Kluyveromyces lactis: one gene and its partner. The protein of the gene in region 1 binds, or shares a complex with, the protein of each later gene. Links are inferred from orthologs where the notes say so. Each region holds a gene or a part of one and is shown on either strand. Other genes may lie near its edges. The genes, in order: NAT1 and NAT5.

Evidence for each region.
Region 2: the proteins of NAT1 (region 1) and NAT5 are in contact, whole or in part, in a cryo-EM structure (PDB 6HD5), measured with the Saccharomyces cerevisiae proteins. The link is inferred for Kluyveromyces lactis from reciprocal best matches to the Saccharomyces cerevisiae genes NAT1 and NAT5. Residues at the interface, in NP_010244.1 of Saccharomyces cerevisiae: Pro376, Thr377, Gln378, Pro380, Ile381, Ile384, Asp412, His413, Thr414, Pro415, Thr416, Tyr421, Gln446, Leu447, Asp448, Leu449, Gln450; in NP_014896.3 of Saccharomyces cerevisiae: Asn14, Asn15, Leu16, Gly17, Met18, Lys21, Val25, Tyr66, Ser67, Ile69, Pro70, Leu99, Asn101, Tyr102, Lys105.

What each region holds. Positions count from the first base shown.
Region 1 is NC_006042.1:781,884-799,432, reverse strand, and holds NAT1 (peptide alpha-N-acetyltransferase complex A subunit NAT1), read left to right. Parts: upstream 1-8,953; coding exon 8,954-11,467; downstream 11,468-17,549. Other genes in the region: SLY41 (Sly41p), read left to right, coding at 282-1,625; YHM2 (Yhm2p), read right to left, coding at 2,179-3,105; MCH5 (riboflavin transporter), read left to right, coding at 4,023-5,504; RRG7 (Rrg7p), read right to left, coding at 5,765-6,466; BIL1 (Bil1p), read left to right, coding at 6,658-6,888; U2 snRNP complex subunit CUS1, read left to right, coding at 7,123-8,574; GAL7 (UDP-glucose:hexose-1-phosphate uridylyltransferase), read right to left, coding at 11,579-12,691; GAL10 (bifunctional UDP-glucose 4-epimerase/aldose 1-epimerase), read right to left, coding at 13,582-15,648; GAL1 (galactokinase), read left to right, coding at 16,414-17,549. UniProt on the Saccharomyces cerevisiae protein: Non-catalytic component of the NatA N-terminal acetyltransferase, which catalyzes acetylation of proteins beginning with Met-Ser, Met-Gly and Met-Ala.
Region 2 is NC_006039.1:845,288-861,713, reverse strand, and holds NAT5 (peptide alpha-N-acetyltransferase subunit NAT5), read left to right. Parts: upstream 1-10,485; coding exon 10,486-10,977; downstream 10,978-16,426. Other genes in the region: cleavage polyadenylation factor subunit CLP1, read right to left, coding at 1-89; TUM1 (thiosulfate sulfurtransferase), read right to left, coding at 402-1,301; SET6 (Set6p), read left to right, coding at 1,753-2,856; ATG29 (Atg29p), read right to left, coding at 2,845-3,309; REV3 (DNA-directed DNA polymerase), read left to right, coding at 3,751-8,106; TMA16 (Tma16p), read left to right, coding at 8,335-8,907; MRX4 (Mrx4p), read right to left, coding at 9,065-10,213; protein-transporting protein SEC63, read right to left, coding at 11,064-13,073; MEX67 (Mex67p), read left to right, coding at 13,646-15,412; OSW1 (Osw1p), read left to right, coding at 15,735-16,385. UniProt on the Saccharomyces cerevisiae protein: N-alpha-acetyltransferase that acetylates the N-terminus of proteins that retain their initiating methionine. Has a broad substrate specificity: able to acetylate the initiator methionine of most peptides.

The DNA of each region.
Region 1 (17,549 bases):
CAAAAAACGTTAACAACGTCAGCAAGCAAAAACATCACATCGGTCAGAAAGAAAGAAAAAAGACTGGAAATATATAATATAATAACATGGCATCAATTTTTGGCGACTTGTAATAGAAAGAGATACTTCTTACATAGTGACAGTCGGCTCTAAAATCGCTGCTCGCTCCATAAAGTAACAGTTCTTTTCGATCTATTCTATCGTTTGCTAAATTATTCTCATTCAACTTCGTTCCACTCGCTTTATTGATTTTAAGAAGGTGTGAATAAAATAAGCGAAAAATGATTGTAACTTCCAAGAGCGTCACTTCGAAGCGCCGTCCTTCGATCAATAAAACATTTTCAGATGTTAACTTTGTCAACCAGGTACAAATACCGTTCCAGGAAAATTACAGGTCTCATAAACATTCAACTTCGTTCAATGAGGTCAGAAGACTGCAAAATCAGACGTGGAAAGAGCAATTTGTCAATCTATTTCCCAAGGATGTACAAGAGTATTTACCGGAAGTGAATGTTCACATATCTATTTTATGCCTTATATGGTATATGACTTCTTCTGTTTCATCAAACCTGTCAAAAGCCATTTTATCCCGATTTCCACATCCTGTTGGTTTAACGGAATTGCAGTTCCTTCTAAGCGCATCGCTATGTCTCGCGTTTGTAACGTTTGCTAACTATTTGCATGCACCACAGGTATCTTCATCAAAATTGAAGAATACAGTTCTAAACTTCCCGGAAGGAATTCTACCCACTTATTTGAATGGATCATTTTCGAGATGCATATTAAACACTTTCCTGGTACCATCTAAAGTCATATGGTATACAACTTTCCCAATGGGTATTTTCCAATTTGTAGGGCATATTACCTCTCATAAATCCACATCTTTGATTCCAGTTTCCTTGGTGCATTCTGTTAAAGCTTTATCTCCAATCGCGACCGTGTGCTATTATAGATTCGCAAAAGGAAGACAATATAACAATATGACTTACTATACCCTTATTCCTTTGATCCTTGGTGTTATCATTACGTGTTGGACATCCCAAAACAATAAAAGCAAACTTACGGAGACTGATAAAACAACTTTCTCAATGGGTCTATCGTTTGCTTTTATTTCTATGGTGATCTTTGTATCACAAAACATTTTTGCCAAAGGAATTTTGACAGTTAAGTCAAAAGATGTTCTACCCTGTAAGAACAAATCACAACTGAATCTAGTAGAGCTAAAGTCCCAGAAAGACTCACCGATCCAGTTGGACAAAATTACCATTTTATTCTATTGCTCATGTGTCGGTTTTATTTTAACTTTCCCAATCTTCGTATCGAACGAAGTTTTTTCCAGCTCTACCTCAGTTTTCGCTGATTTGTCGCCGAGCGTAATGACACTAGTTCTAATTCACGGGGTTGCTCATTTCTTCCAAGCCATGTTAGCATTCCAACTAATCGGTATGCTAAGTCCCGTTACTTATTCGATTGCAAACATCATGAAACGGATCGTGATCATCGGAGTAGCGTTCATTTGGGAATCGAATTTGTCGATCAATCAACTATTCGGATTGATTTTAACGATCAGTGGATTGTACGGATATGACAAGTGGGGGAACAAAAAAGTAAACTGTTCACTATAGGCACTTCTTTTTTTTTCACTACTGTATTATAAGCATACCTGTTTGACGATGTTCTCAAGCGACTATATTAAAACAACGACATTTTCAATTCCTTTTGTTATTGCATGCATTTATTCTTTCACTTAAAACATTCATCCTCAAACCTTCTAGTTTAATCATTATTTGGAACCTCCAGTGTAAAATAGTAGTTACTCGTTATTTAGAATATACAATTGAAATACTGATATTACGCGCCGTTTACTGGAAAACTTGAGCATCATTTCCACAGTATATATTGACGTGGTTTTATTAAGCTACGATATGAAGACCAGTTTCCGCTAGTTAAGATTCAGATCAGATCAACCCGATACTTCTCAATCAAAAAAAAGTATAGCCAACATACTGGATCAATTTTTTTAAATATGAGTACAGCGGGGAATATTATACTTGCTAAGTATGTAAATCTTATTATGAATTATGAGTTATGAGCAAAGTGACGCGGAAGACTAAGGTATTATTGTTTATGATTTATCTCACAGTGTTTTCTGTTTGTTTGTTTGTTTTTTGACATTTCTTAATGCTTAGCAACTGGAGTTTCACCGGTCAACTTGCCGACAAATTCTCTTGCAATGTCACCACAACCAACCATAAACACGGTTTGCCAGATACCTAAACCAATTCTTGGAGTGACCCCACGGTATAGACCCTTAACACCGTTAGATTGGTAAATGTATCTGAAGGCTTTGCCCACAGTTAAATCCTTTGGCCTGTTTGGATCATTGGTCTTAGATTGCATCTCAACTCTGATAACTTCGATAGGTTGGTTCCAAGCAGACAAACCACCACCGATGGCGGAAGCGAAGATCTTTTCCAATGCAGTTAATTTATCATCTGGATTAGTCTTACCAGTGAATTTTCTCAAACCTTCTTCGACCAATCTAGAGAAACCGAAACGAGAACCCCAGTTGGTCATTTGTCTGATGGCAACAGCATTGACACCCTTGTTAATACCCCTGATACCTTCCTTGTTGTAAATTTCCTTGAAGGCAGCCCAAGATGATTGCTTAGCACCTGCAGCAGCACTCTTGTGCTTGGTAATTTCAACAGTCTTCATACAAGTACAGAAACCCATTGTCAAATATGCTTGTGCTACACCACCAGAAACACCACCCATGATACCAGCACCGAAATTGTTCAATCCCAATTTCTTAAAGTGATATTCAGCTTCTGCAGATACGAACAATAGCACAGCACCCTTAGTAGATGCTTCAATCCATGCCCATGGAATCAACCCTTGGTAGAACCCAAATACACCACCACGAGACCAAATGTGATTAATGGCTTGGAAAAACGTGAATTGTCTATTAGCTGCCATAGTGGTCTTGACCACTTCTAATGGCTGACCTAAAGTAGTCACTTCACACATATTCAAACCGGCTCCCAACAAAATGTTGGAGAATGAAATTGGCTTCTTCTTCAATTCAACTGGCTGGGATGACATTGTTTCCTTCCTTGAACTTCTAGTTCCTTAGCTCTTGTGCTTCCTCACTGTTTTGATGTTGATGCTTCTCTCTTCGACAGATGACTCAAGTATCTAACGAAAGGCTATCTGATTTATACAAGTTCGATCCTGGACCTACTTCAAAAGAATAAAACAAATTGACTCTATAATTGTTAGCAATCAAGACTCAGCCTTAATTCTCCGAAACTCCGAGCCAGTGAAAAACGGAAAACACCCAAATCAATTCTATTTTGTTAAATGAAACAAACAGTCAAGGTTTCTCCTCTAAGGCTTTATCTTTTCAAAGATCCAAGTTTAGAGATTTTTCTTTTCCATCTTCAATGGGATGAAAAAAATTTTGAGATTTCGAGATTCCTGTGGGAAAACGAACAATATAGGTTGCCAGTCCCGGCATTTAGGGCCCTGATAGTGGTTTTTTACACGTGAGTAATGTATTATTTGGTATTTATGTATACAATTTCTGCTTTATGTGGACTCAAATGCAGTCAAACGAGCGTTCTACCGGCTTGTAGAAAGTTTCGTCACGTTAGTGAGGATCCTTGTAAACCAGGTTTAAAGGGAGCAACTTACAAATTTATCTTGTCGATCGTACCGTAAATTGGGCATTGCGGGCATTGCACTTTAGTGTTCAATTCAATGTCAGCATCAACTTTCAGCCCGGTGCAATGTTTACTGTTATGTAATATCTTGGTCCCAGTGTGACTCTTTCCTCGTAAAGGAAAAGCGGATATCGAACGCCGTTCGAAAAATTCGATGTTTGACATATAAAGCGATGAGCAATGAGTGCTACAGAGAGAGAGTTGTAACTCTCTCAGACATACTCAAGAGGCCACCATGCTAGCACTGCTAATCAGAATTCAAGGCATAAGGTGTATACTCTACCCATTGAGGAAAAAATGTCCGAAGAAGTGACTATTGAAAAGATTTCTAGACCAGCTATGCTGTCTCCTCAATCGTCCCGGCAGCTATTGATGAGAAAAGAAGTGGACGTTGATAACAAGTTCGCTGATCTTGAGGCTACTCAAACTTATAACGAGCAAACGAGGCCTGTTGAGTCTGGCGTAAAGAGACCCAGCTTCATTCAGGATGACGGATTGTTTTATCCGGAAGGTGGGTTTGCCGCATGGTTGGTGATATTCGGTTGTTTTTGCGGGTTTATTCCAGTTTTCGGTATGTTGAACACTATTGGTGTCATGGAAAACTTTATTGAAAGAAACCAGTTGTCGAGTACCTCATCATCTACCGTAGGTTGGATTTTCTCCATTTTTTCGTTTGTTAATTTCGCAAGTTGCATCTTTTCAGGAACTTATTTTGACAGAAACGGTGCCAAGGGCCCATTGATTGTTGGTTCTGTACTGCATGTTGGTGGGCTCTTTGGTATGGCTAATTCTACTGAACTCTGGCAGTTCATCTTGTCCTTTTCAATCGTTACCGGACTTGGTAATGGTATTCTAATGAGTCCATTGATCAGTGTGCCTTCTCATTACTTCCTGGTTAAGCGTGGTACCGCAACTGCAATAGCTACCACTGGCGGTTCCATCGGTGGTGTCATTTTCCCTGTTATTCTAAGAAAGTTCTTTGCAATGGAGAAGGACTCGGACCCATTTTATGGTTTCGTATGGGGCCTTAGAACTTTAGGATTTGTTAATTTGTTCCTATTGATTGTCGCTTTAGTCTTAGCAAAGGAGAGATTGCCACATAAAAAGTTAAATGAACGTGAAAGAGCAATACCTACTTGGAGGCGTGTTTTCAACACTTACATCTTGCAAAGTTTTGATATCTTCGGTTTCAAAGATTTGAAGTACACTTTCTGTGTCATGGGAACTGTGTTTGGTGAAATTAGCATAATCTCTGGTATCACCTACTTCACCTCATATGCAATGAAACAAGGTCTATCGCAATCTGATAGTTATCTATTGGTCATGGTAGTTAACCTTGCCGGTATACCAGGGAGATGGTTACCAGGATTCTTCAGTGATATCTTCGGAAGGTTTAACGTTGCAATGATTACGCTAGTGTTTCTTGGCATAATAACTTTTGTGATGTGGTTACCTTTTGCCACTACCAGAGCGGTGTTATTCGCATTCAGTGCCATTTATGGATTTTCTTCCGGAAGTATCTTCAGTATCTTACCTGTCTGCTGTGGACAAATCTCAAAGACTGAAGAATTCGGAAGAAGATATTCTACAATGTACTTTGTTGTCGCATTTGGTACTTTAGTAGCAGTTCCTATTACAGGTGCCATCATCGGACCAGAAAAGAGTTTCAAGGGCTATGACCACTATGTAATTTGGTGCGGTGTCACGTCATTTGTCTCTGCTATATGTTATATGATTTCCAAGACATTAGCAGTGGGCTTCAATATGAAGAGATTCTAAAATGCCATCCACAACTATTCCCAAACTTGTTTTAAAACTTACGCCTTCCCTTCAACATCGAGACATCATTAATACATAATTTTAACCTGGCTACTATATACATTCCTATCTCGTTTTCATGCGCTGCATAATCAGATACACAACCTTTATAAATTTATACATCTTTAAATTAATTAGCATATCATATTTATTACATTCATCATATGTACAGGTTTCATTCTATTTAAACTTTTCTGATAGCGTAATTGCGTGCTAATATTTCATTTTTGTGCTAAGGACTCATAACCTTTCAATTTTAACCATTCTTTGATTCCACAATTTGCAAGTAATTTCGATGCATAGTCATTCTCATAATAATGCTGTAGTTTTCCCGAGTTTTTCACATCGAAGCTTCCATCAGCTAATCTCTGGATCATATCCACTTTGGTAAATACCATTGGTATTGCGGCCTCATTAAACAGCCTTATTCCATCTTTTGTAAACAAAGTTGGAGAGCTCATTATCATTATGCTCGAGTTTCTTTTACGAGCGGGAACTTGCATGGAGAATGATCCAATTAATTCCCGTACCTGGCGGCCAGTAACTTTATCTGAATTGAAAGCCTTACATTGAATGTAACAGTCTAAATATTTATCGGGTTTCACCCTATGTTTCCATGGTTTTATCGATGTAGTCGGAAGTTTCAAACGTTTAGGTAGCTCATCGAATTGTATTTGCATTTCTATAGCCTTTGTTAATGGTAAAACGTTCCATTTGCCCCGAATATCAATGCCGCCATCATATGAACCGCCAACTACCTGCATATCCTCCAGTCGGAGCTTATTCATTAATTCTCGTACCACCGTGAGCTCATATAGCGTACCTTGAAAAACGGTAGAGTTGGCGATGCTCTCATTGGCAGCAATATACTTCTGTAAAGTATCTTTGGGAAATGAACTTGCAAAAACCCCTTTCCAACTCATCTGTATACCTAATAGGCTATCATGGACAAAATAGACCAGCTGGCGTTCTCGCCATTGTTAGTCTCATCACCTCCATGTATCATTTGTATCACCAAAATTTGGATCGGATTCAAATAACTAAAAAAAATGTAAATGTCATAGAACCGACATACCTTGAAGTCTATTGATCTAGCTTACATACAGCCATATACATGCAGTCATCACTTCAAAAGATGATTTCGACACAACCAATTGTTACCCCTGAACCAAAAGGATCAGAAAATAGTGGTAATTCCAACGAAGATGTTCCCACCGTGTTTGAGATAGCCTCAGATATTCAGCAAAAGTTACAGGACTTACTGCGGAAAGTGAATGACGATGATGTACAATTTAACAAATTCGCCGATTCAATCAACGATAGACTCAAGAATTTAGAAGAGTGATTCGTTATTATCCATAGTCATATAGCATCTATCACATGTATACAAGACCGTTGAATGTTGCCATATCTGTTCACGTATAATATAATGGTATAAATTTCAACATTTAATTGAAAAATATATGTGGTCTTAATAAAGGACATAAAAAAGGCAAATTGACAGATGAGCATACAATAGTATTCTGGCTCGACTGCTTATTAATATAACAACAGTCAACTGCCCACCAGATATTGCACTATGGTAAAGAAAGCCAAGGCTAATAAACGCCGTTCAAAGAATAAAAATGGATCTGTGAAAGAGGATGCAGAAGAAAGGAAGAAGAGGCTTTCCAGTTTGTTACAACAAGTGTCATCAGAGAATGGCAACACCTCGCAACAGGTAATTAATGAACCTTTAGTTATCAAGGATGAAAGTCTCAATAAAGTGTTACAAAGATTTAAAGCTTCGGCTACAGGGGCCGATGAGGATGATGATTCAAAACGGGAACAAGCCATAGTACGAAAAGAACGGGCTGATATTGACGATGAGGATGCTGAGGGTTCCGACAGTTTTGAGGATCAAGCGGATGAAGTACTTCAAAATATATCAGAAAGACAAAAGAGACTTGCTAACAAACCAAGTATTGCTGTTTTGAAAGCTTCAGTACCATATCCGGAACTCATCGAATGGTTTGACTGCGATGCGCAATGGCCTTATTTCAATGCAGCTATAAAGACAACACATAATACAGTGGGGATCCCCAGACATTGGCAAATGAAAAGAGGTTATTTATCTGGACGATCAATGATGGAAAGGAAGCCATTTCAATTACCTGAGATTATTAGACAAACCGATATTGAAACGATGCGAGAGACTGTTCCCTCTGGAAACGAAAAGCAAGCAGAGAAATTGAAGGATATTACCAGAGCAAAAGTTCAACCCAAGCTAGGTGTATTAGATCTAGATTATAAAAGGTTGTACGAAGCATTTTTCACTTTGGGAAAGAATTGGAAACCTGAACTATTGTCATTTGGTGATTTATATTATGAAAACAGAAGTTTGGATAGTGAACTCGAATGGAAACAAATAAAGACACGATATAGACCAGGGTATCTATCGGAAACTTTAAGGGAGGCATTAAATCTCACGGAGGGGATGCTCCCGCCTTGGTGTCATGAAATGAATAGATTAGGACTACCCAAATCATACCCTGGTATGAAAGTCTGTGGAATAAATTGGGAAATCTCTAATCTTACCGGTACACAATACGGATACTACCCTGAAGATACTTTGAGAATACCCAAACAAAACTTATTCGGAGCCATGTTCTCATTTGAAGAATTAGAAGATCAAGACGCACATATTGATCCAGATCCGTTGAACGAATCAATTTCCGACGATGAGGTGTCTTCAGACGCCAATGAAGCGGAAGCAACAAAAACAGAAAGCGAGACACATGAAAACAATAATTCAGGCTTAGTGCCAATTGATGGAGGCTCTGTAGTCAACCAGCACTATGATGAAAATAGACCCTTATTTACTGTTCTAACGGAAGCTAAATCAAACGAAGTCGACGGATCTACAATAATCAGTTCCACTACCTCTTACAATATTACGAACAAACGATCAACAAGCGTAGAGGAGAAGGACGATGATAATGTCTTACATAAAAAACAGAAAGTGGAAGAAGAGCCTGACTTCCGTTTTTGATCTTTACATTAACTCGTTAGAAACCCTACGTTTCAAAAGTGTCAGCTGTTTCCCTTTAATTACGTAAAATATTTGTAAATGTGAGTATGTAACTATATCAAAAGTATCATTGGATTGCAACATGTTTTAACTTTATTGCAGTAGGTGAGTAATAAACTCCTTGAATCGTACCAGCTCCGCTTGCTAACTATTACCTTCAGTTCGTTCAAACCCAAACATTTCATTTTCAATGTATCTCTAAACTGAAAAATTTACAATAGTCAACGTCTAAATCATGAAAATTATCAAGTTCAACAATCATATTCATGACTGAATAAATGGAGAAACACTCTTACTGGCTTGCTTATCTACACTCAGCGACCCATTGATCTACACTAGCATGTATAAAAAAAAGGGACTATCTCACGGGAAAGTGGGACTTCCAATTGGTAGGTCTAAGGATGACAGCAATATGTTGGAAGCACTGCAACTATATGAAGGTAAAAATTACAAGAAGTCGTTGAAGATCTTGGACACAATCTTGAAGAAGAACAGCAGTCATGTGGACTCTATAATTTTGAAGGGATTGAACTTGCAATTCTGTAGTACACCTGAAGAAGCTGCTAGTTACATTGATAAAGCGTTATCCAAAATTAAAGGCACTCTTGTAAGTCCAATTGGTGGACACTTATTAGGAATTTATTACAGACAGGTGAAAAATTACTCAGACGCTGTAAAGTGGTTCAAGGCCGCATTAGAAAATGGTTCTACAAACACTCAAATCTATAGAGATTTGGCGACATTGCAATCTCAAATTCATGATTTCAAAGGCGCGCTGGAATCGAGAAAAAAGTACTGGGAAAACTACAGAGGATATCGTGCCAATTGGACCTCATTGGCCATAGCACAAGATTTGAATGGGCGTACGCAAGACGCAATCAATACTCTTTCGACATTTGAAGAGCTTGCTGAAGGCAAGTTGGGTGAACCAGAAATGTATGAGAACAACGAATGTATCATGTACAAGAATGATCTTTTGTACAAGAAGGCAGGCAACGATAAAGAATCCTTGGAAAGAGTTTTAGAGCATTTGGAAAAGATTTCCGACGATGTTTATGATAGATATGGCTGGTTAGAGAGGAAAGCTTCTATTTTAATGAAACTTGGTCGGTCTAAGGAAGCCTCTATTGTGTACAGAACTTTGATTAAGAGAAGTCCAGACAATTTCAGATATTACAGGCTATTGGAAGTTTCACTTGGAATTCAAGGAAATGAGAAGTTGAGGAAAGCTTTATATGAAAAGTTGGCTATATTTTACCCTAAATCGGAGCCTCCTAAATTCATTCCGCTCACATTCCTCAAAGATAAGGTAGAATTAACCGCGAAACTCAATGATTATATCATAACGCAGTTAAATCGCGGTGTTCCAGCCACATTCAATAACATCAAACCTCTTTACAAGAAGGAAGGTATTCCGGATATTGTTGAAAGTATTGTATTACCTTATTATGCTGAGCTATCATCGACTGATCAACCAATCCAATTTGTTTGGACAACTTACTTTTTGGCTCTACATTATTTGCATAGAAAGCAGTTCGAGCAGGCTAATGCATATGCTGACAAAGCAATGAACCACACTCCAACTCTTGTTGAGGTATATATTCTCAAGTCCAGAGTCCTGAAGCATTTGGGGCTATTGGAAGAAGCTTCAGAAGTTATTGATAAAGGTCGCGAACTTGACCTGCAAGATAGATTTATTAATGCAAAGACTGTAAAATACATGTTAAGAGCTGATAAAATTGATGAGGCTACTAAGATCGTGTCATTGTTTACCAAAAACGACCAATCTCCAAATGGTGTACCAGATTTACACCTCCTAGAAGCCTCTTGGTTCATTATCGAACAAGCTGAGAGCTTCTTCAGATTGTATAAAAAATCTTGCAAGGAATTAATCGGCTTGAAGAATAAAGATATAACTGCACTTACCGTTGATGAGATAGAATCTCATGGAAAACTTCTAAAAGAATTGGAATTCAATGTTAATAAGTTTGAGGGCCTTTCTTTAAAACGTTATATGGCAATTCCTAAGATTTACAAGCAATTTGAGGATGATCAATTAGATTTCCACTCCTATTGTATGAGAAAAGGGACACCAAGAGCCTACGTGAATATGCTTGAATGGGGAAACCACCTCTATACTTTGCCTATGTTTATTAGGGCTATGGAAGGTGCTTCAAGGATAATTTTCGGAAGATTTGATTCTTTGCAACTAACTGCATCAGTTGAACAAGAGCATGATGACAGTTCTATCAAGAAGAAGACCAACAAAAAGGCCAAAAAAGAAGCTGCTGCTTTGAATAAAAAGAAGGAAGAAGAAAAGGCCAAGTATCTTGCCTACCTTGATGACAAGGATCCATTTGGTGAAACTTTACTCAATGATCCAAATCCTTTGGAATTATTCGAGAATCAATTTTTGAAACTATATTTATCCCAAACCACTGATGATACGAGAAGACATTTGCTGGAATTTGAATTCCATTTGAGAACTGGTAAGCTAGCTTTGGCTCTGGGCGCACTCACAAAATATGTTAAGTTAAATGGTAAAGATTCTGTTGCAGCAAGTATGGCATTGGTGCTTTTAGAGAACACAAAAGACTCTTATCCACATGATGTCATAGCCAAGAAAGTCGCCATTAAGGGTATAGAAAAGGAATTCCCTGATCTGTTGTCAGAATCTGGCGATAAGGTACAATTTGTAACATGCACATATGGCAAAACCTTGCCATCATTGTTGATACTTTATCATCATTCGAGTGAGTCCATTCCAGAACCAGAAATTAAAGAAGACATCATTTCTGTTCTAGACAACGAAGATCCTGTCGTTCAGCATTCAATATTAGAATATGAATTTTAAGTAACGTTAGGTAGGATCTAAAAGCTTACGAATGTGACTAAGTTTGGAAATTTTATGTGAGTATAACTTGTAAATAAGTTTTCCTATACGGATATTTTCTGCTTTGCCTGCTCAAGTTTTGCTTTCTTCCTGCTCAAGTTTTGCTAAATAATGTACTTCACCACTTAGGGCTTTGAGTCTATCTGCTGCTTGTTCAGCAGTCAAATCTCTTTGTGGTTGTCCTAATAACTCGAACCCTACTAAGAACTTTCTCACAGTGGCCGATCTTAGCAATGGTGGATAGAAATGCATATGGAACCAAGCGGCTTTCAATTCTCCTTCGGTAGCGTTGAGAGAGGCTTGGTGAAGACCCATGGAGTATGGGAAACTCGTTTCGAAGAGATTGTCATATCTGATGGTCAAGTTTCTGATGATAGATGCTAAATCTTCCCTTTCTTTATCAGTAAATTGATTCAAGGATGGGATGCGACGTTTTGAGAGGACCATGGTTTCGAATGGCCAAACGGCCCAATATGGAACAACAACCAAGAAAGAATCATTTTCGCACACAATTCTTTCCTTTTCGCGAAGTTCTAAATTGACATAATCTTCCAACAAGTGAGCACCATGTTGATGTTCATATTTCTCGAAGTGGTCAAACTCTTTTGCAGGTTCGCTTGGAATGGAATCTAAACACCAAGCCTGACCATGAGGATGTAAATTAGAGCAACCCATAGCAGTACCCTTATTTTCGAAAATTTGTAGATATTTATAAGGCTTGTTCTCTTCCAAGGCTTCTTTCTCCAAAGTCTGGAATAAGTTAGTCCACGTTTTGACAACATTCATGATCTCACTTTGAGCCATTTGTGGGAAACTTAGGTTATGTTTTGGAGAGAAGCAGATCACATAACAGTTACCTTTCACACCTTTCAACTTGAACAATCTCTCCTTCAATGCGTCGCAATTCGACACCGTCAGTTCTGGATCTGGTTGTTCTAATTTCACAGCTGGATAGCCGTTAGTGAAGACATATGTAGATTCGTAATCTGGGTTCTGCTCACCTGTAGCCCTGGTAGTACCGGGACATAAGTAGCATTTATCGTCGTGGTCTGGAGCATCGTTTCTACCAGGTTTCTCCTGTTGACCTAACCATGGTCTCTTGGCTCTATGTGGAGATACCAAAATCCAAGAATCAGTCAATGGATTGTAACGTGCATGTGAGTGATCTGTTAAGTCAAAAGACATTATATTAACCGTTTGAAAACGCTGATGTTAGTTGTTATTCTGTTTTGCTCGTATCAATCAATGTTGATGATTGGTTTTCTATATCTGTATGTTAAAAGAATTATTCGCAACTGAATCCAATTCAAACCAATTCTCGAATGACAAGTCTATCCTCCATCTACAGCTTTACTTTATATATTCGCAGCTAAACTTACTTGATGAAATAAATTGGGCACTCTCGTGCTGTTAGCACAAGTAGCTCCACAAATACAGTGCTCCGGTGCAATCCTGTACCATAATGAAACAATACACCATTCAGTTCCTTAATCTTGTTGACGGTGCTAAGAAACTATCCGTACAGAGAGTGTAGCTCGTGGACATACCCAAGCGATGAGCTTACGGCCTTGCTAACCTGCCGTAAAGAGAACGAAAGGGCCTTCGAATCAGCTTGTCCATCGGACCACAATCATCCGAGACGGGAACGGACCACTCAACTCCGAAGTTTCCATATCCAATGAAAAATAATAACTGAACCAAATCCGGTGACACTGAAGCTTTGTCGTCCGACACAACTTTTATCATCATCGTCATTTGCTTGCATGCAGCTGGTCACAAGCACGTTGGTTTGCGATCACATTCGAAGTTCGATACTGTCATGTAGCTGCGTGTTAGGAACGACATGTGGGAAATAAAAAAATATTATCTGTCATGTCAATGGTATTTGTTTATTATTATGGGGTTTAATTATGCAATATAAGTCGTAAAAGGTAAAACTATGTAGTATGTGTATATATTGATTCAGAAAGAAAACTGTTGACAAGAAACATACTCTCATATATCAACAATCATGTCATGTTATTGTGTTTAAGTTTTTATTTGGTTTAGTGTTTTCTATGTCAAATGTATTTCCATCACAAAGTCCTAAAAGTATAAGAAAGCTTGTGGCCATAGGTTTCTCCCGCTGGAAGAACGACGCTCGATTTCCATTCAGGATTGTTGACAGCGTCAATGTATCTACCGGGTTCGCAACAAATACCAGCTCTGTTTTCGTATTTATCTTTGACATCGACGTAATCACCGGTGTAGACCTGGAAAGTTGGCTCAGTGGTAGCCACTTCCACTTCCAACTTAGCATCTTCGTTAGATAGTTTAAACACCGGTGTTAGCGGAGAAGATCTTGTATCTAGTTTAGCAGGTAATCCGCTTACGAAGCAGAAATCTAAGACAGGTTCCTTCTCTGTGATTTCAGTTGGGGAATCATTGAAAGTAGCCACTTGGGTATATTTCTTTAAGTTTCCTGTTGGGAGCAACTTGTTATTCACTTCGAGACCGGTGTTGTCGATCAATTGTACTTTAGATCCCTTAATAGTAGCTTCATTGAATTTGTTCAAGTTGAAATATGTGTGGTTAGTGATGTTGGCACCTGTAGAGCCTTGGCCCGCGACCTTTGATTCGTATTCAACAGTCAAAGTCTTCTTTTCGCTGTCGACTTTATATCTTACCAAAGTGGACAACCTGGCCGGAAATTCAGTTTCTTCATCTACGTATTTGAAATCTGCAGTCCAAATATGAGCCTCCGGGTTCTTAACGATTGGACCTAAGAATTTCTTAGAGTGGTAGCTGTTGATTCCAGAATGAACTACATTACCATCTTCTTTGCTCACAGTTAGTTGTATCCTCTTACCATTGATTTCGAAGGTACCATTAGCGATTCTGTTAGCATAGGGGCCTACAGTAGCGCCGAAGAATGGATTGCTTTGATCCTTGTATTCGGTTTCATTATCCAACGATGCAACAACAGAACACCCGTTAACAACAATGTCAACGATGGTAGCACCAAGGTTAGCAAGTTTAACTTCGAATGAGGTACCTTTACCTAGAGATACAACTCTGGATGAAAAATCTCCCTTATCCCCAAAGAATTTGGAGTCCACACCTTTAATCTGATAGCCGAAAGGGTTATCTTGAGTCCACTTCCACAGATCCACACACGCCTTATTAACGTCTAGTTCCGTTTTCCATTCTAGCTCATTTGTTGCACGATCACATTTAGCGGTCAAGTTCAAAACATCACCGTCTCGTCTAGCAGTGACAACATATTCGAAATTGAAACCAATAGCATCACAGAAGGCACGGTACATTTGTAGCACAGTGGTACCATGACCGGTACCTAGATTCCATTCCCTGCAAGTACCAGCGTATTTTTCCAGATATTTTAGTGCTGCTAGATGACCCTTTGCCAAATCGACAACGTGGATATAGTCTCTAATTGGCGTACCATCGACGGAATCGTAATCGTCACCAAAGACGTATAGCTTTGGTCTTCTTCCAATGGCAACTTGAGCCATGAATGGTAACAAGTTATTTGGAATACCCAAAGGGTCTTCACCGATGACACCAGATGGATGAGCACCAATAGGATTGAAATATCTTAAGATAGCAAAGGAGAAAGACTTATCAGAGAAATGTAGATCTCTCATCATATCTTCAATGGTCAACTTGGTCTTACCATATGGGTTAGTTGGACCTGTTGGACAGGTCTCTGGAATTGGAATCATATTTTCGAATCTAGTGGCATCACCGTAAACAGTGGCAGAAGAGGAAAAGACTAACTTCTTTACATCGTGACTCTTCATACATTCTAGAAGGTTGATAGTACCAACGATATTGTTGAAATAATAAGTCAATGGAATCTGAGTACTTTCACCAACCGCTTTCAAACCGGCAAAATGTAGAACGGAATCGATCTTGTAATCATCGAACAACTTGTTCAATGGTTCCAGTTCGCATAAATCAATCTTTGCGAACTTGATCTCCTGGCCAGTCAACAATTCCATGCGAGCGACAGATTCATAACTGGAATTAGACAAGTTGTCAACAACAATACACTTATAACCAGCTTCACAAAGTTCAACAACAGTATGCGACCCAATGTAACCAGCACCACCAGTCACCAAACAGTATTTATCTTCAGACATCTTAGCGTTGATTTTTTTTTTTTTTTGGCTTCGAGGAGTTTCCTTTAACCTGATTCAGATTATTGGTCCTTCTTAGTGACAGCTTCTATAAGAGATATCCTTCAAATGGTAGTCTATTATATCAATTATATTGAAGGAAGGCAGTTTACTGTTTTTGCCTTCTGTTCTTATTTGGATTCAATTGCCTGGACTCAGTGTTTATATACGTATTGAGCATGCAATCATACGTGTTTTAAGTAAAGGGGATTTGATCCTCAATGTCACTTCAAGGTGCAAGGCAAGCAGGTTGTCGTGTTATGATAGCAACTTATTAGTAATTTCTGTTTCTTTCCTTCTTTCACGGTGTTTAATTCCTAACTCATCTCTCGTTACCAATAGTACGGTCGGTAGCTTGCCTGCTGAGAAACGAAAAATCTGGGGCATCCGGGGCATAGTCTTCCGCTCATTCCGGATTGGTGTATTCCGTAGAGCGGATTCGTTCAATCCGTATGTATCACGTGATACGGATTGAAGTGATCCGAAGAAAACTCGGTAGCCGTTCTGTTAAATGATGGAGCAGGCTTCCAAAGGTCTATAAAAGAACCGTTCTATTGAATTGAAATTACATTTAAAAGGTTTGACAGTTCGAGACATATCTTGATACCAGGTTTGATCTTTCAATAGACGGGTGAGAATATCATTCAACCTATAAAGTTGGAAATTTGATCGTAGAATCCTTTTAAGTGACAACAGGTTTGAAACAAGGCTGAAATATAAGAAATAATAATGTCCGTTCCTATTGTGCCAACAGATTTTGCTCACGCTCCAAAATTGGAACAATTGAAGAATGAATTTGTGGAATGTTATGATACAGATGATTCCAGGAAGTTTTTTATAACCAGATCTCCTGGTAGAGTTAATTTGATTGGTGAACATATCGATTATTGTCAGTTTTCAGTGTTGCCAATGGCTATTGAAAACGATTTGATGCTAGCGTGCCGCTTAACTTCTGAAAGCGAGAATCCATCCATTACTTTGACTAATCATGATAGCAATTTTGCTCAGCGTAAGTTCGACTTACCATTGGATGGATCCTTGATTGAAATTGACCCATCAGTGTCAGACTGGTCCAATTATTTCAAGTGTGGCCTCCTAGTCGCTCAACAATTCTTACAAGAGAAATACAACTTCAAGGGTCCAGTTCATGGTATGGAAATCTACGTCAAGGGTGACATTCCTAGCGGTGGTGGTTTGTCTTCAAGTGCTGCCTTCATCTGTGCGGTTTCTTTGGCAATCATATACTCTAATGTTCCTGCAGGAACGCCAATCCTCAAGGATGAATTGACAAAGACTACAGCTGTAGCGGAACATCATGTCGGTGTTAATAACGGTGGTATGGATCAAGCAGCCTCCATTTGTGGTATCGAGGGTCACGCTTTGTACGTGGAGTTCAAACCAGAATTGAAGGCTACTCCGTTCAAGTTCCCAGAAGATTTGCCAATTTCCTTCTTGATTGCGAACACTCTTGTGGTTAGTAATAAGGCGGAAACCGGACCTGTCAATTATAATTTGAGAGTTGTTGAAGTCACCGTCGCTGCTAACGTTTTGGCTCAGAAATTCGGTGTTACCTTACAAACTGAAGGTAACCTAGGTAAGGGTACCCTAAGAAACTTTATGGATTCATATTACACGAAATATGACAAATCGTGCCGTAAGCCATGGGATGGCGAAATTCAAACTGGTATCGAAAGATTGAATAAAATGTTGCAACTAGTAGAAGAAACCTTAGACCCGAATGGATACACCCTAGATCACGCCGTTGAACTGTGCGGGTGTGAATCTATCTCTCAGTTCACTGAACTATATCTAACTAACTTTCCTGTTCGTTTCCAAAGATTGAAGTTATTTCAACGTGCTAAGCA
Region 2 (16,426 bases), on another chromosome or scaffold:
GCTGGAACTTGAACGGTCCATTCATGGCCCTGCGGAAGAGACGATGTCTTAGTGGTCTCAGAAACCTCGCTGAATTCTACAAACTCCATTTCCTTTTTTCTAGCTTCTCCTGCGAGTGGTAATGGTCGGGCTATCAGCTCATCTACCTTTTGTTCTATGTTAATTAAACCTTTTCTAACACTTAAACACTTTAATTTTGATCAATATATCATTACAGATTTTTCCTAGCATACATACTGAAAATATAGTATAAACCAATTGTGGGCAATTATTGATTTGCGCAGGGTTCTTTTCAAGTGTCAGGGATGCAGAGCTACTGTTCTTTCAGGTAGTACTGCATGTTTCACATCTTCCCTACATTCAGTGTATGGGAAATCACTCATTCTATCGAAGTATTTCTCTTAACTTCCTTTAGCCACTTCTCCATCTTTCATCACCCATTCGGTCCAAGACCCGTCGTAGAGTCTGACATTCTTGACACCTGAAATCTCTAATGCAGTCTTGATTATGACACCTGTGACACCAGTACCACACATTGCAATGGTTGGTTTATCGGTTTCAAACTCATTGCCGGTTTGCGAGACGAAGTCTTGTATTTTCTTTAGCATTTCCTCACGATCTGAAGTAAAAGTTTTATCACTGTTCAAGACCTCTAGGAAGGGCAATGGCTGAACGCCAGGAATGTGACCAGAGCTGAGGCCCGGTCTAGGTTCTGGCGCCTCACCAGTAAATCTTTGAAGACTTCTAGCGTCCAAAACCTGGTAGTTCTTAATATCACCTGTCGACACCAATTTCTGCATATCTTCAAAGGAAACTGTTTCTTTCTCTGCCAAATCAACATCGGACACGTATTCACTCATTTCATATGGAGTAAAACTTGTCACTTTAGAAGTCTCAACGGGGTACCCAGACAGTTTCAGGGCAGGGAAATTGTTCAAGAGATATACGGGATCATGTCCCAAAACAGCTAATGTCCATGCACATCTAGGTGCGCTAAAGTTACCAATTCTATCATAAACCACTAAAATATCATCCTTCTTCAGTCCCAATTCACTCATGGATTTATTGAAAGTACTGAGATCTGGTAACATATGAGGATATTCAGATTTCATGTCTTTGACACCATCAATATCAAAATAAACAGCTCCTTTTAGACGTTCTTCATCTAAAAATTCTTGCTTCCCACTTCTGTTCAAGTTTGGTAAATACCAGGTGGAATCTACTGGGATAATACGGCGCTTAGTTTCCTTGGATAATAATTCTGCGAATGCTTTAGGTGTTAATAATTTGTAAAGTGTCATGATGTTTTAAAAACAATTCAATGATCTGGGAAACGCAATTGGGTAGAGCAATAACAATCAAATTTAGCAAGCCAAATAATGCGACTACAACGTGCAAAATTCTGATTTCCTTCTACGTCGTAACTGTGAGTTCCTTCCCCTTTCCTATCCTTACTTTTGCTGTGGTCAAAGATCTAATTTTGACACGATAGTGGAAAGACTACCACGCGAACTGATGTTTACAGTTCACGTGACTCTTAAAATCTACTGATCTAGTTGAAGATATAATTTCAAAAGGAATTTGGAGCGTTGATTTCAGGCGATGAGATGCAATGAGATGGGCTGCTTGGCAAAATATGATGTTAACTGGTCAGAGGTATCTACACTTAAAATCCTCTGAATTATATATTACGAACTAGAATTCATGGATATATGCCAATTGTGAGGGAGTTAGATATAATACAGGACACGGATGAATGCGGAAGTATATATTAATGACAAAATTGAAGTAAAACGTACAGCATATGGCGGCCGGGCATGTTTTGCTTCAAATAGCATGTTAAAAGGCACCCATCTGTTAGATTTGTCCCAGTGGATCGGATCTAGTATTTCTCACGAGTTCCGTAAGGAAGTGTGCCATTTTTGCCTGAAATATGACGGTGGTAAACCAATGAAAGTTAGGATCAGCTGGGCAGACCTACTGAAATTAGATTTGAACTTGTTAAACCATAAACTAGAGAAGAAGTACAAAGGTAGCGGGCTTTGGTTTTGTACTGAAGAGTGTAAAAACTTCTTCCTAAGTGGACCGAATATTGTTGATCTTATTTTGAATTATGAAATGATATTAACGCATTTCCAATCGATACAGGGTAAAAGCCTGTGCGTGGAAACAGATACGGAATTGTATAAAGACTACGATAATAAGCGGATGCATCAGGAAATTGAGAGTTGTTGGATGGACTTAGAAAGTACTTGGATGCCTAGAGTTTCCAAAATGAAACTTGCCAAGGCCACCAACCAACTTCCAGTGATAGATGAGGATCATTATTCCTGTATCAGGTTTGTGATAGAATGTTTATTTAACATGACACATTTGGATCGAAATAGTGTGAAGTGGAATACGTGGGAAAAACTTCAGTCAAATGAAGTGGAGAAAATAATGAGATTCCCTGTTCTACTGGAGTTTCAGATCAAAGTTTTCAAATGGGTTTATACTCTAGCTCCCCAGTATAGGTATATCATGACAACATCAGTTTTTAGACATATCCTTGGTTCTGAATATGGAAACTCATTTGGCATTTGGGAGACTTCAGAGTCGGACGATGATAGGGAATATCTGGGTTATATGGTTCATCCGGAGGCCTCATATTTTAACCATTCCTGTGTGCCTAACGTGGAGAAAAAGAGGGTCGAAAGAGTCTTTCAATACATTCTACAAACTGATGTGCAGAAGGGAGAAGAGCTCTGTATTGATTACAAGGGTATATTACACCTTGACGTCAACCGGAGAAGGGCAATATTGAAGGATAATTGGTTTTTTGAATGCAAATGTAGTAGATGCCTCTCAGAGTTGTAAACAATCCATCAATGCGTCCTCAAGTGCTGACTTGCTCACACTTAAATTCGAAAGTTCACTACTAGACTCTTGATTATTGGCTAAGTTGTCCGTCTTATCCAATTTATGATTCATTATTCTTGATGCCTGTAAATTTTGGAGAATGTTGTTGTCAACGGAATTTCGTGACTCTGATGAGGACCGGGTATTAGATGTAACGTCTATTTGGTTCGATAAAACTTTTAGTTGATTTTGAAATAAAGTATAACTCCGTTTTTTGAGAAAGGGTTCTGGTGCACCTAAATCAGCCCCCAATTCCTGCCAATCCATATCCTCTAACGAGTCAATTTTTGAGATTTTGGTCCATAGAATCTTATCTCGACGAGAATCCCAAATAAATGGTTTTGTTTCGACAAAATTTTCAGGTCGTTTACCTGCCACTCTTACGTACACTTTTGTGTTGTCATTATTCATTGTAAATACACCTCACACTGTGGATTTTATAGAATCACCAAATTTCTTCCTATACCACAGAATCTAGATTAGAACAATTTAAAGTAACATTTGCTATTAAATTCGATTAGGAACTTGCGGTGAATGTTGTTCAACTAGATCTCACTTTCATCTCGGACAACTCCAGTATACGAGAATCACTTTAGCTAAAATATGATTATTCATTACGTATCAGAATGATCACAATATCCGGGTAATCATGAATACTAATATACCCAACTATAATCAAGTTTAGCCCAACTTTGCAGGATTGCTCATCGCTATTTCTCATCTGAAGTTTGGTCACAGTATATCACCCATTAATCAAGGATATTACTTTTATACCATTCACATCGTTTACATCAGAAGATATAACTGTGCTACATTAAGGTGACTGTAATCTGATATGATGATTACTTGCAGATGAGTGATATTTTTGGTTCTTTAGACTCCAGCTTAGACTCCAATGAAATCAACATACAGATTAATAATTCAGACAGCTATCAATGCTTCCCAACTCTATTGGATTGTAAAACTAGTAAGAGCCTTCCTGGACTTCGATTTGTTCAGGTGCCAGTACTAAGGTTCTATGGATGTTTATCTACCGGACACAAAGTTCTAATTCATTGCCATGGCATTTTCCCTTACATATTCATCAAATATGACGGACATTCGAATGATAAAGCATCAGTAATACGGAATAGATGTACCAGTTTGCACAAAATACTTGAGACACGGATGATTGAAACTTTTACCAAAACAGATTTTAAAGAGAAGCTAACTTCCCTGAAATACATTGCTAATGTGTCCGTTGTCAAAGGCGTTCCATTTTACGGATACCACGTAGGATATGAACCTTACTATAAAATTACTCTTTTGAATGGTTCATATAGTAATAAACTCTCTGAATTACTTAGAGATGGCAGAATATTCACCTCAAAAGTGGATGTCTTTGAGGCTCATATACCTTATTTATTGCAAATGATGGCTGACTATAACTTATTTGGTTGCGGATGGTTAAAACTATCCAAATGCTATTTTCGGCAACCTGTTCTGTTAACTGATCTAGATATGAATGAAATATTGCACACGGACTCTTTGGAACGTTTTTTGAAAAAACACTTGCATCCGAATCAAAATGTTTTAGACATAGATCCATTTCATCGAATTGGAAAGACCTTTCTTGAAATGGATATTATTCCACAGTTCATTTTAAACAGAGAAGAAATTCAATTCAGGGATTTACACCATGATTTTGTTGAGCTTAAGAAAGACCTTCAAACATCAGATCAAGGATATGTTAATTCTACAAAAGATATATGGAAAGAGATACAACTGCTTAGGAAAAGGAAAGGGCTTGCTGAATATGAAGGATTAAAAGAAATATTTCGAGAATCTCAATTACAATATAATTGGAAAGAAGATGAAAGGTTGGTGAAACACTTTGATGAAGCTAAGAAACGAATGTCTTCCCTTTTTAACAAAGAAAAAGCTTTAAATTTTGACAACTTTGTGGATCCTTTCATTAATGAGAATTTTTTTGCAAGTACCAAAGACGCCCTTCAAGAATTATGGCCCAAAATACCAAGGAATGCTAGTAGTAAAGTATTCTGTTGGTCAGAAGTAGAATTCAAATTGAACAACCAATATACTTCTGTTCGTGAACAAAAAGTAGCGTCTACAAACACTAAAAATATTCCCATTTTGCTAAATATTTCCTCCAATGAATCGCACTCTTCACATGTCAGTTCCAAACGTGCGGAGGAATCTTCATGTCATGACGATATTGCTAATGAAGCAATTGCTAGGAAACTGGCAAAACGAAAAACATCTGCTATTAGAAAGTCAACATTTCGCCCGATGATCAGACCTAGCGTAACACACGCTAACATCAAGGAGAGTTTATCTGCTAACCAAATTGAAGAAGTTCAGTATAACGATCCATTTTTCTCCAATCCACTTGATTGTAAAAGGCTACAAACGGAAATGGCTGGTCGAGTGTTCAAGCTATCAAGTGATCATATCCTCTTTAAAAGAAGCATCCGTAGTAACGATACAACAGCAACATTAACTTCTTCAGGAAGTGTATATGCAAGAAGCAGATGGAAATATATAAGACCAAAGCCGTCTTTTAAAAGAATAGCCAATGCGATGAAGCCTTTCAAAGGTAAATTCTCGATGGTGGAGGGGAAAACACCAGAACTACCATTCGGATACAAGTTCAAGAGCAATAAAATAGAAAAAAATAATAACGCTTCTAATAGAATGACCCATTTCACCATGGAAATTCACGTCAATACTCGTGAAGATAAGTTTCCAGATCCTAAATATGATGCTGTCAGGATGATATTTTGGAAAGTGCAAGATGGAACTTTTCCATTCGACCTGGATATTACTCAAGAAGGTGTTTTGATATTTCTAGACGATGTCTCGACAGAAAATTCATGGAAAACTGCCGATCCTAGTGTTCATATAACTGCTTATTACGATGAATTGGAAATGATATATGCATTAGAAGATTTAGTGAGGTTTTTCGATCCTGATATCTTGTCAGGATACGAAATACACTCTTCCTCGTGGGGCTACTTGATTGATAGATGTCACAAGGGACATGATTATGATGTGGAAGATGAACTCTCTCGAGTCGATTATAACCAGAGTAGCAAAAAAAAAGACAGATGGGGTTACACTCACGCAACAGCATTTTCGATAACGGGAAGACAAATGCTAAACATATGGAGGCCTCTCCGCTCTTCTTTGAATCTTCTCGATTATACATTAGAAAATATTGCATTTCATGTTTTACACCAACGGTTACCTTTTTATTCGTACAAAACCAGGACAGAGTTCTATGAATCTATGGACGAAACTTCAAAAAGGTGTCTCCTATTTTACTGGATCACAAGACTTCGAGTAAATTTCAAGCTTTTAGAGACTCAGAATATAATTGGAAAAACCATCGAGCAAGCAAGACTTATCGGGATTGACTTTTATTCTGTCCTTTACCGTGGCTCACAATACAAGGTTGAATCCTTTTTAATTAGACTTTGCAAATCAGAACAATTCATTCTGATTTCTCCAAGCCGAATGCAGGTCCGTAACCAAAAAGCACTCGAATGTATACCACTTGTGATGGAACCTTCATCTGCCTTTTACAAGAGTCCTTTATTAGTTTTAGACTTTCAATCATTATACCCATCCATTGTTATGGCATATAATTATTGTTACAGCACTATTATCGGAAGAGTTGAATCATTAAATACTAAAAATAATGAAATAGGTATCACAAGGTATGATATCCCTGAAGATTTACTAACTTTAATATCTGATTATATCACCATCTCACCAAATGGTATCGTCTTTGTCAAAAAAGAACTGAGAAAGTCAGTTTTGGCTAAGATGTTAAAGGACATTCTTGATACGAGATTTCTAATGAAAAGTACTATGAAGGAACTTAATGATGAACATAACCTTATTAATATGTTGGATAATAGGCAGGAAGCCTTAAAATTACTTGCTAATGTCACGTACGGATACACATCTGCTTCATTCTCTGGGCGTATGCCATGTTCCGACATTGCAGATAGTATAGTTCAGACTGGCAGGGAAACATTAGAGAGGGCGATCGAGGTTATAGAAACTACTAAAGAATGGGGGGCTAAAGTAGTTTATGGAGATACAGATAGTTTATTTGTTTACCTTCCAGGGAAATCGAAAGATGAAGCATTTGTAATCGGAAGGCAGATCGCTGAAGAAATAACAAGACAGAATCCGAAACCCATAGAGTTGAAGTTTGAGAAAGTGTATCATCCGTGCTTTTTAGTAACCAAGAAACGTTATGTAGGCTTTTCCTATGAGTCTGAATATCAAAAAGAACCAAAATTCGATGCAAAGGGTATAGAAACTGTTCGAAGGGATGGAACACCAGCACAACAAAAAATCGTGGAAAAGGCACTTAGAATTATGTTTGAAACCACTGATTTATCCATGGTAAAAGAATACTTAATTGGAGAATTTGACAAAATTATCACCGGCAGAGTTAATATTCAAGATTTCTGTTTCGCTAGAGAAGTTAAGCTAGGCCATTATAAAAGTGAAAAGACTGCTCCCCCTGGTGCCCAAATTGCCATGCAAATGATGGAAGAAGATGCACGTACAGAACCCCAATACAAGCAGAGAGTACCGTATGTCGTGAAAATGGGAAAAATAGGTGAAACTTTGAGCTCTAGATGCCTCTCACCGGAGGCTTTCTTAAGGTCTAAAACGTCTAGGTTGGATTATACATACTACATTGTCAAAAACATTATACCTCCTCTTCAGCGGTTTTTCCAGTTAGTAGGAGTTGATATCATGGATTGGTATATATCGATGAAACATACTCTTAATCCTCTAAAAGTAGACTCTGATGACGGCAGCCATGAAGGAAGGTCTTTGACTTCAATCGTCAAAGGCAAATCTTGTCTGCGCTGTCGCAAGAAAGTTCACCCAAAATTCATTAGTCCTATATGTGGTGAATGCAGGATCGATAAAAGCAACACCACCCTTTTTTTGGAAGAGTCAGTCAGACTAAAACAGTCTAAGATGCATTCTGTTATGAGGACCTGTCAAACCTGTTCATACAAGTTTCATAAAGATGCTATGGCACCTTTGGACCAAATTGCACTCAAGTGCCAATCTAAAGACTGTCCGGTATACTTCAGTAAATTCAAATACATGAACGGTCTCAAGGATAATGATATGAGAGATCTCTTGATGGGACTGATAGATTTGGACTATTGAATTTCAAATCACGTGACTTTTAAATCAATAAAAACTTTTCTTTTTGCTCATCATGGATTTCGGCAAAAAAATTCAAAAGCGATGAGCAACTGAAATTATAGATCAGCGATGAGCTCCTTTATAAAATTGAATGTTAAAAGCTAGTGAGCACATCAACTCAGGCAAGATTGGTAGTAAGAAAGAGACGGGGTATAATATCATTATCTTAGCAAATTAAAATCGCTTTAAATGCCTGTCACAAAATCGTTGGGTAAAATCCAGAAAGGATTAAAGGGTAAGAAATTTACTGTTCACCCAAAAGGGCGCAAATTCCAGCAGCTAAACAGAGCTACCCTTCGCGAAGAGAAAGTTCAGGCAAAAAAGAGAGCTCACAACGAAAAAAGATCCAACGAGTTAGCGCGTATGACTTTTGTACAGTCAGCCATTAAAACTGATTCTTTGAAGGAAAAAGAAGTATTCGATTATAAGGAAACTGCAGTACTAATTCAAGAGTTTATTGCCCGCGATGATAATGAATTAAATGAACTAAAATCTAAGAGAAGACAGAATAGACCTCCCACTGGTAGGCAACAGCTTTTGCAACATAAAAGAGATTTGGAAATGGAAGAATTCAAGTCAGGTTTTTTGTGCCCAGATCTGACAGACCCTGAAAATGTGATCTTTTTAAGAGCTTGGAATCAAACTTTTGGAGGTTTGAGTACTTTAAAACTGATAAGAATCAATGATAAAGGCGAAAAGGTTCTTGGGGGAACAAAACCTGTAAAACCTATTGGTGAATTAAAAGACATTGAAATGAACTGATAATGTCGATCAATTTCGGATGTCATTTTCTACACACACGGTTGATCAGAAGGGTATTGTACTATAGATATATATATAAAGATTAACTATTCATACATTTTTAATTCTGTTTTTCCTATATGAGTGTCATTCGGATTGTACAGTATACAATATTAATTTATCGATTGAAATAATTAATATAGTCGATTAGTGGTTGGACAACGGCTATGTATCCTAGGGTAATACCAAATAAAGTGATAGCTATTTTTCCTTTGGTCTCTATGAGTGCTGGTCTCATGTAATTCTTCTGGAAGACAATCTTGTAAGTATCTCTGTTCACATCGCCTATCAACTTCCACCCTCCGTTCTCGTATTGATTTATTACGGCCAACAACTGATCAGGTGCTATTCTACCGCCATTTACAACTGCGAAAAGGTCCTTCTTTTGTACATGCACAAGAATAGTGGATTCTGGTGGTTCGATCTTTTCTTTCGATTTAGTAACATCATAGAGAAGTATTTCTCTAACTTCGGTCGGCGCAAACGGGTGTATATATCTTTCACATTTCGAAAGGTATGAGCCAACTGAAGAATTCTTCCTCAATCGAACAGAAGGTAAATGTTCCTGAAATAGCAACGATCCTGATGATATACGTGAAGCTGGCCCTTGGTTGGAAGACCATTTATATTTTCTCTGTTGTTCAAGAACGAACTTCTTAATTTGTTTCTCTTGAGTTTCTGCTCTCTCAAGGAATTTCTTCAAAGCTTCAATGTCTTTGTCCGTAATTGTTTCAGTTTCAGTGTCCTTTTTAGGGTGAGCCACATTGTTATTTGAAGATTTGACCCCTACTTCGTGCTGTGATGGCGTTGGATGTAATGGCCTCTGTAGTTTTGGCCGCTGGCGTGGTTCGTGAAAGGTTGCCGTTTTCTCAAGGTTCTTCAATTCCTTCTGCAAATTGATCGGTTTTGGTGTCACTACATTAATGATTTGATTGGAATTAACCTTAGTAATTGCGTTGTGTATGTCATCGTCACTTATACGCTTCTGCAAAATTAATAGCTGTAGCCTTTTTATTTGCTTCTTTAGTGTATCATGAGGAATCGAAAACTTAGCTATTAACTCCAAAAGTACTCTTCTCTCTCGTGAGGAGTCAGATGGCCATGCATTGTTTGCTATCGTATGCTGCAATGATGTTTTAAATGCTTTTACCGATCTGTCTTTGGGTATAGCGGGATCCAATGCCATATTCCAAGACACATTTCCCTTTGCTAGTTGGAAATAAGTGGTATGGAATGTCCGTTTATGATAGTTTATGCATTTGAGCATCGATGTTAGATTGGTTTCGTTGTTTTGGCAGTTTAGAGGAAATTCTAACAGTGTATCTAAGGCTGGTATCTGGTATTACACTCTCGATTTTAACATTGTTCGCTGTTTCGATCCTGAGATACACAGTTGATTTGAAAATTCCATAGAACTTATAATCCGAAGAAATAATATCTTCAAGAGAGATACAATGACAAGAATTACTGCTAGAAACCAGTACTTTCTGTACGTTGAGAATCAGCAGGTAAGGTATCCATATATAGACAATTGAGAAGATGGGTAGAGCATTGGTTACGATTGATAACGTTTACGCTAACAATTTAGGAACATTCAGAAAGATCATTGATGTTGTGCTACCGGTTCAGTATCCAGGTGAATACTTCGAGGAAGTTGTGGACAAGAATGCGAAAGGAGTATTCTATGCACAGCTAGCATATTACGGGGAAATTGCGATTGGTGCTGTAAAATCCAGATTAATAGCCAATAAGACCGGCGGAGTCAAACCAGCAGGTATGTACATCGAAGTATTGGCCGTACTTGAAGCTTACCGTGGAAAGACAGCTGGTTCATTAATGTTGAAGTATATCGAAGATAAATGTAAGGAAAGCTTTCAACACGATATATACGTGCATGTTGCCACCGACAATGAAACAGCAATAGAATGGTATGAGAAGAATGGCTTTTCCAGGGATGGTGACATTTTGGAAAACTATTACAAGAATACCACTGGATCTAATGATGCATTTGTATATAAGAAGTCAGTATGAATATATATCTACATATGAAAAGCCCTGTCAATTTAGTGATGGTTAATGCGTGCTCAGATAATTTATTAGGAACTGTAAGTAAAAAGTTAATCTGTCTTGGAGGATTTTTCAGTGGTTTCCTCAGTTGCTTCATGTTCATCTTCAGTATCAGTATCTATATCAGTGAAATCAGAGTCCTCTTCTAGATCATCACCATCGGATTCATCAAAGTCTTCGGAGGAATATCCAGTATTTTCTTCGCCTTCATTTCCTGAATCGTCAGAGTCTAGTTCTTCCAATATCTCCTTCTTAGGATCTGTTTCAATTGGAGTATTTTTCACAGTCAATGGAACAGTGAAGTCTAAATCAGAACCAAAGTAATCTGGAGACTTGATAACGACTCTGAAGAAATATGTGCCTTCTTCTTTAGGAGCAGGCTGAGCGAAAGGAATTGAGAAAGTGCCGATGGTCCAGTCTTCAGCGTTAAATTCCTTGTCTAAATCTTTAATAACTCTTTTATCGAAATTGACATCCAAATTTTCTAGGGACAATCTTTGGGCCAAGCTTGGGGTTTGAATTATTTTACCATCCTTTTGTGATACCACTAACGCATACCAGCAAGTACGTCTCTTTGTTGGAAGCAAAGGTGCGAAAGTTTCAGGCAACAATGGTTGTTCCAACAATTTTTCGAAGGGATCCTGTTCCAATAACAATGGATCATCGCCAGCTATTTTTTCAGCTGGGATCAATGAGTTTGGGAAAAGTTTGTGTCTTGGAGAACGAACCAACACTTTAACTTGAATGTGAGGAGTAGAACCTGGTTCTGCGGTATTTAGAGAAGATCCACGAACTTTGAAGGAGCCCTTGACGAGCTTCAACTTAGGAATACGAGACGCTACTTTCAAAGTTTCATTGAGTGCTGTTTCATCTTTTATTCCTAGCATCTTACCTATCTTATCATCTGGGTATGTGAATAATTTACCCAAGGCACAAATATCATCTGTAGTTGAATCCAAGAAATGCTCTTTATCCACGTTTGGTAATTGAAAGATTTGAGAGTGTGGCGATAACGGAGTTGCCTGTACCACTGTCTTATACGTGTCTAACGCCATCAATGCAACTTCAGTGTTCCTAAAAGTGGATGCGATTTCTATCAATTGATGGAAAAGTAACGATGATTTGGTAAGCACATAGTTCCTTGCATATTCGTTTTCAGTCTTTTCACGGTTAACATGGGAATGGATAATGTTAGCGATGTCCACGGAAGACAATTCTGGGAATTTCAATTGGAATTCTTTTGCTTCAGAGATCCATTTAATGATTAAGTCTGGCACAACAACATAAGATGGTTTGAAGTTGAACATTTTGTCAACGAAGTGAGATGCTGTTTCAGAATGAATACCGTGTTTTGTGTACTCTTGCGAAGTGCTCCACCATTTAGAAACTACCATGGGTAACACAAACGCAAGTAGAATGAAATATGCAAAAACAACAAATGGGGAAGTACCTCCTTCCACCAAGAACTTGGGCAAAGCGATACCGTGAGAAGTAGATTGAGGACCATCTGGATGACCATACTTTCTATAATTTTCCTTCGTAATTTCATCAGTTAAAGCCTTATAAGCCTTGTTAATCATCACGAACTGTTCCTCCATAGCCGTTCTTTCAATCTCATTTAGGTCCTTGGAAAGCTTATCGGGATGGAATTTGACAGATAATTTCCTGTATGCAGACTTGATCTCTTTATCGGTAGACGAAAGCGTCACACCAAGTAACTCATATGGATCAAAAGCCGCTGCTGCAATCTGATAGATAGCATCGTTGGAACGAATATGATAAATCAACATCGAAATGAGCACCCAACCAACGGTAATGAAGTAAATTCCCTTCTTGGACCTTTTCTTCTTATTAGCAAGTCTATATTTCCGAACTTCTTCTGAAGTATATTTTTCGTGCAATTGACTCCATTCTGATGAAGAACTCTTATCGCTGGAGTCCCCAACAATCAATCTATACAGCTCAATCAATGTTACCGGTGTAACAGCCACAAATAACACCGTGAGTACGAAAAATGGCCATGTGGTGCTTGCCTCATCGTAATCATAATTCTGCGGCATGGCGTCGTTGTCTGTTCGTCTGCTTGTCTGTTGTAGAACCAAAAGACTGCCAATAAATTAAGCCGCTACAATAAAACACACAGCAGGCAGCAATCAAAAAAAGTGAACCACAGTGTACTATTAAACAAAAAAGCCTTCAAACTGCAAACAATTATTCCTCTGATCTAGAAAAGTAGTTAACAGTTAACTTATTTCGATTTTAATATGCCAGTCTGTATTTTCCAAAAACCTTTGGGTTTTTTTCCTTCTGTTTGAAACACTATACGTATTCAATACGGCAGAGCTTAGAAGAACAAATAGAAGAGAAAGACCAAAAAAAAAAAAGATATTTATACGTCACGTGCTCGTAATATATCACATGACCTTGAATTTTCTGTTTCGATTTGGTCGATCATCTCTTTCTACTAAACTGAAGAATAAAATTAAAAAAAAAAATGCTAAAAACCTAGAAATAATCAAAAAATGTGCTAGTCTCATTGGTAATTGAGATGGGAATAGAGATTGAAAGATGAGGCTCACCGGGTTAACCGATTTGGTTGAGAAAAGTCTTGTGATATAGCGTTACTAGAGTGATGCAAGTTAGTGGTTTTGGTAACGTGAATCAGATTGGTGCTTTGGCACAGCAAAACCAATTGGATAACTTAGTCAGCGTTAGCATTCGTGGATGGACTAACGCTACTCAACAGGATTTGTTGAATTTCATTTCGAGAAAGACCAGGATCTCAGTGAGAAACTCTGTGGTTCAAGGGGACACTATAGTTGGTTATGTGACACCGCAGGAGGCAGATCAATTGGTGAAATTTAGTGGGTACCGGTTTGCAGGCAATTCATTGAAGATTCACAAGGCAGCCGGTGGGAACACAAACCCTAATACGAATGATACGATAACCGTTCTTCGTAATGTGCTTTTGAGAAGATATAATGTGCAAACGAGGATGTTGGATCTTGGTAATTTGTTCAATGATCCGGAGTTGGTGCAACGCGGTATGGCTCCGAAAAATGTTAATACGCAGTCCAAGATGTTCCCGGCTATGATGAAAGTGGCTTCAAAGGAGCCTAGCATGGTTGTTGAATCGATCAACCTATCTGATAATAATTTGAGAGACGTCAATGGTGTTACCACGTTGGCACAGACTTTCCCTCATTTGAAAAACCTATGCATCGCCAATAATAGTATTAGTCGATTCCATTCTCTTGAAGTTTGGAAGAATAAATTCAAAGAGTTGAGGGAGCTTCTGATGATGAATAATCCAATTACATCGGATCGTTTATATCGTACAGAAATGTTAAGGATATTCCCCAAATTGGTGATTCTAGATAACGTTGTCGTTCGTGACGAGCAGAAACTACTGTCTATCTATAGCTTACCGGTACAACAAACCCAGTTCTTTTTCGAAGATAATGGATTGGCATCATCGTCAACAGATTTTATTACCAACTTCTTGAACTTGTGGGATTCGAATAGAATGCAATTGATGGGTTTGTACACTCCACAGTCTCAATTTTCCTTAAGTGTTGATTCTTCCGTTCCAGCTGCTACTGTACCTAATGCTCAAACGACTCCTACATTCGGTCATTACTTACCATTTTCAAGAAACATTTCCAAGATATCTAGCGACAAGACCATCCAAGAACGGTTACGTATAGGGCCCGAAGCAATTTATGAAGTGTTCGGATCTCTCCCTATGACAAAACATTTTTTGCAAGAACAACCTGATGCTTACTCTGTGCAAGCCTGGACCTTCCCACAAGTTCAAGGGTTTGTTATCACTCTTCATGGCCATTTCGATGAAACTGCCAAACCTGAAATTGACAAGAGCAAAACATCACAAGGATCATCTGCCTCTAGAGGAAGGAGATACAACCATGGATTTACGTCTACGCCGAACATCAAACTTTCACAGAAATCCTTCGATAGAACAATGGTCTTAGTTCCAAGTCCAAATGGTAGTGTCATCATTGCATCTGATTCGTTGACGATAAGGCCATTCTGTGATAGCGCTTGGTCTAAACCACCTTCTCCACCACATCTCCAAGCTCAATCTGTGCAACATCAGCCACAAATGAACGTGCCCCTCTCACAAACTCCGCCAAATACATCATCCATTCCTGGCCAAATCCCGGGAGTTCTTGGATCGACACCTTTGCAATTCTCACCGGAAGTGCAAGCAAAATTGTCACCTGTACAATTAGAACTACTTCAGAAGTTACACCTTGAAACAAAGCTTAACGCTGAGTACACTTATATGCTTGCCGAGCAAAGTCTTTGGAACTATGATAATGCTATCCAAGGATTTAGAAACAGTGCAAACAATCTACCCAGAGAGGCATTCATCTAAAAGTATTGAGCTAATCATGTGCGCTTCTTTAAAAAAGAACATCTTAATTCATTCAGTATAATATATAGTTGCATCTCACACAAATAAATTAAACTAAGTATATCCATCTATTTATATCAGTTGGATTCAAGGTGACTTGACTCTGTGACTATTTTTTATCATATATCCTGTTTGTCACAAAGTGTACGTCAATAAAAAAAGGGCCTAACATTCAGAACATTATACTAGCCAATGAACTCTTAAGCAAATTACAAATTGTGATTATAAGCTCACTACAGTTTTGCTGAAAACTCACTATTCCAAGGCAATATAACTACATTAAATGAGATCGATACCAGAACCTCGCCAATCAAAATATAATCGATTTAGAAGGTTATTTAATAAGGTGCATAATTGTGTCACTTTGAAAAGATTGAAAAGGCGATGGAACCTACACAAGTTGAAGAAGAGCTCAAGGAATACAAATCAGAGATCTGCAATCCCAATAGACCGTATTGCTAATCTTCCTACTGGTATGTCGCATAAATCGAGTAACATGAAACCATTGCTTCTAGTATCGTTTAATAAAGGTCAGGAGAATTCGCCAAAGGTGAGAATTCTAGAAACCAATGGACATTTGAGATCTTGGATCAGCGGTAGAAAATTCTCAATGAAACGAATAGTGAATAACGCATCTGTAGAGAGAGATCCTTATCAAAATTCGAGGCACACAGTTAGGCAAGAAGTAGCAAAACACGCAGATTTAAAGGTCAATTATTCTGAACAAGGAATCGTGAAAACTGTCGACATACCGTGCTGTTACACAGAAGATCCGAAGTTGATTAATATAGGACAAGAGCACACTTTTAGAATACGTGACTATCCTTCTTTGAATCCTAGTCAGCGAACGACGAGAAATGGTTTCAGGAGTAGAAATCAGCCTGAACCTGTTTCGCGCTTCTTCTTTGAGGAAGTTGCAGAGACCATGTCCTAATCCATCATATACAGACATATAAATTATCTGGACTTGTAGTA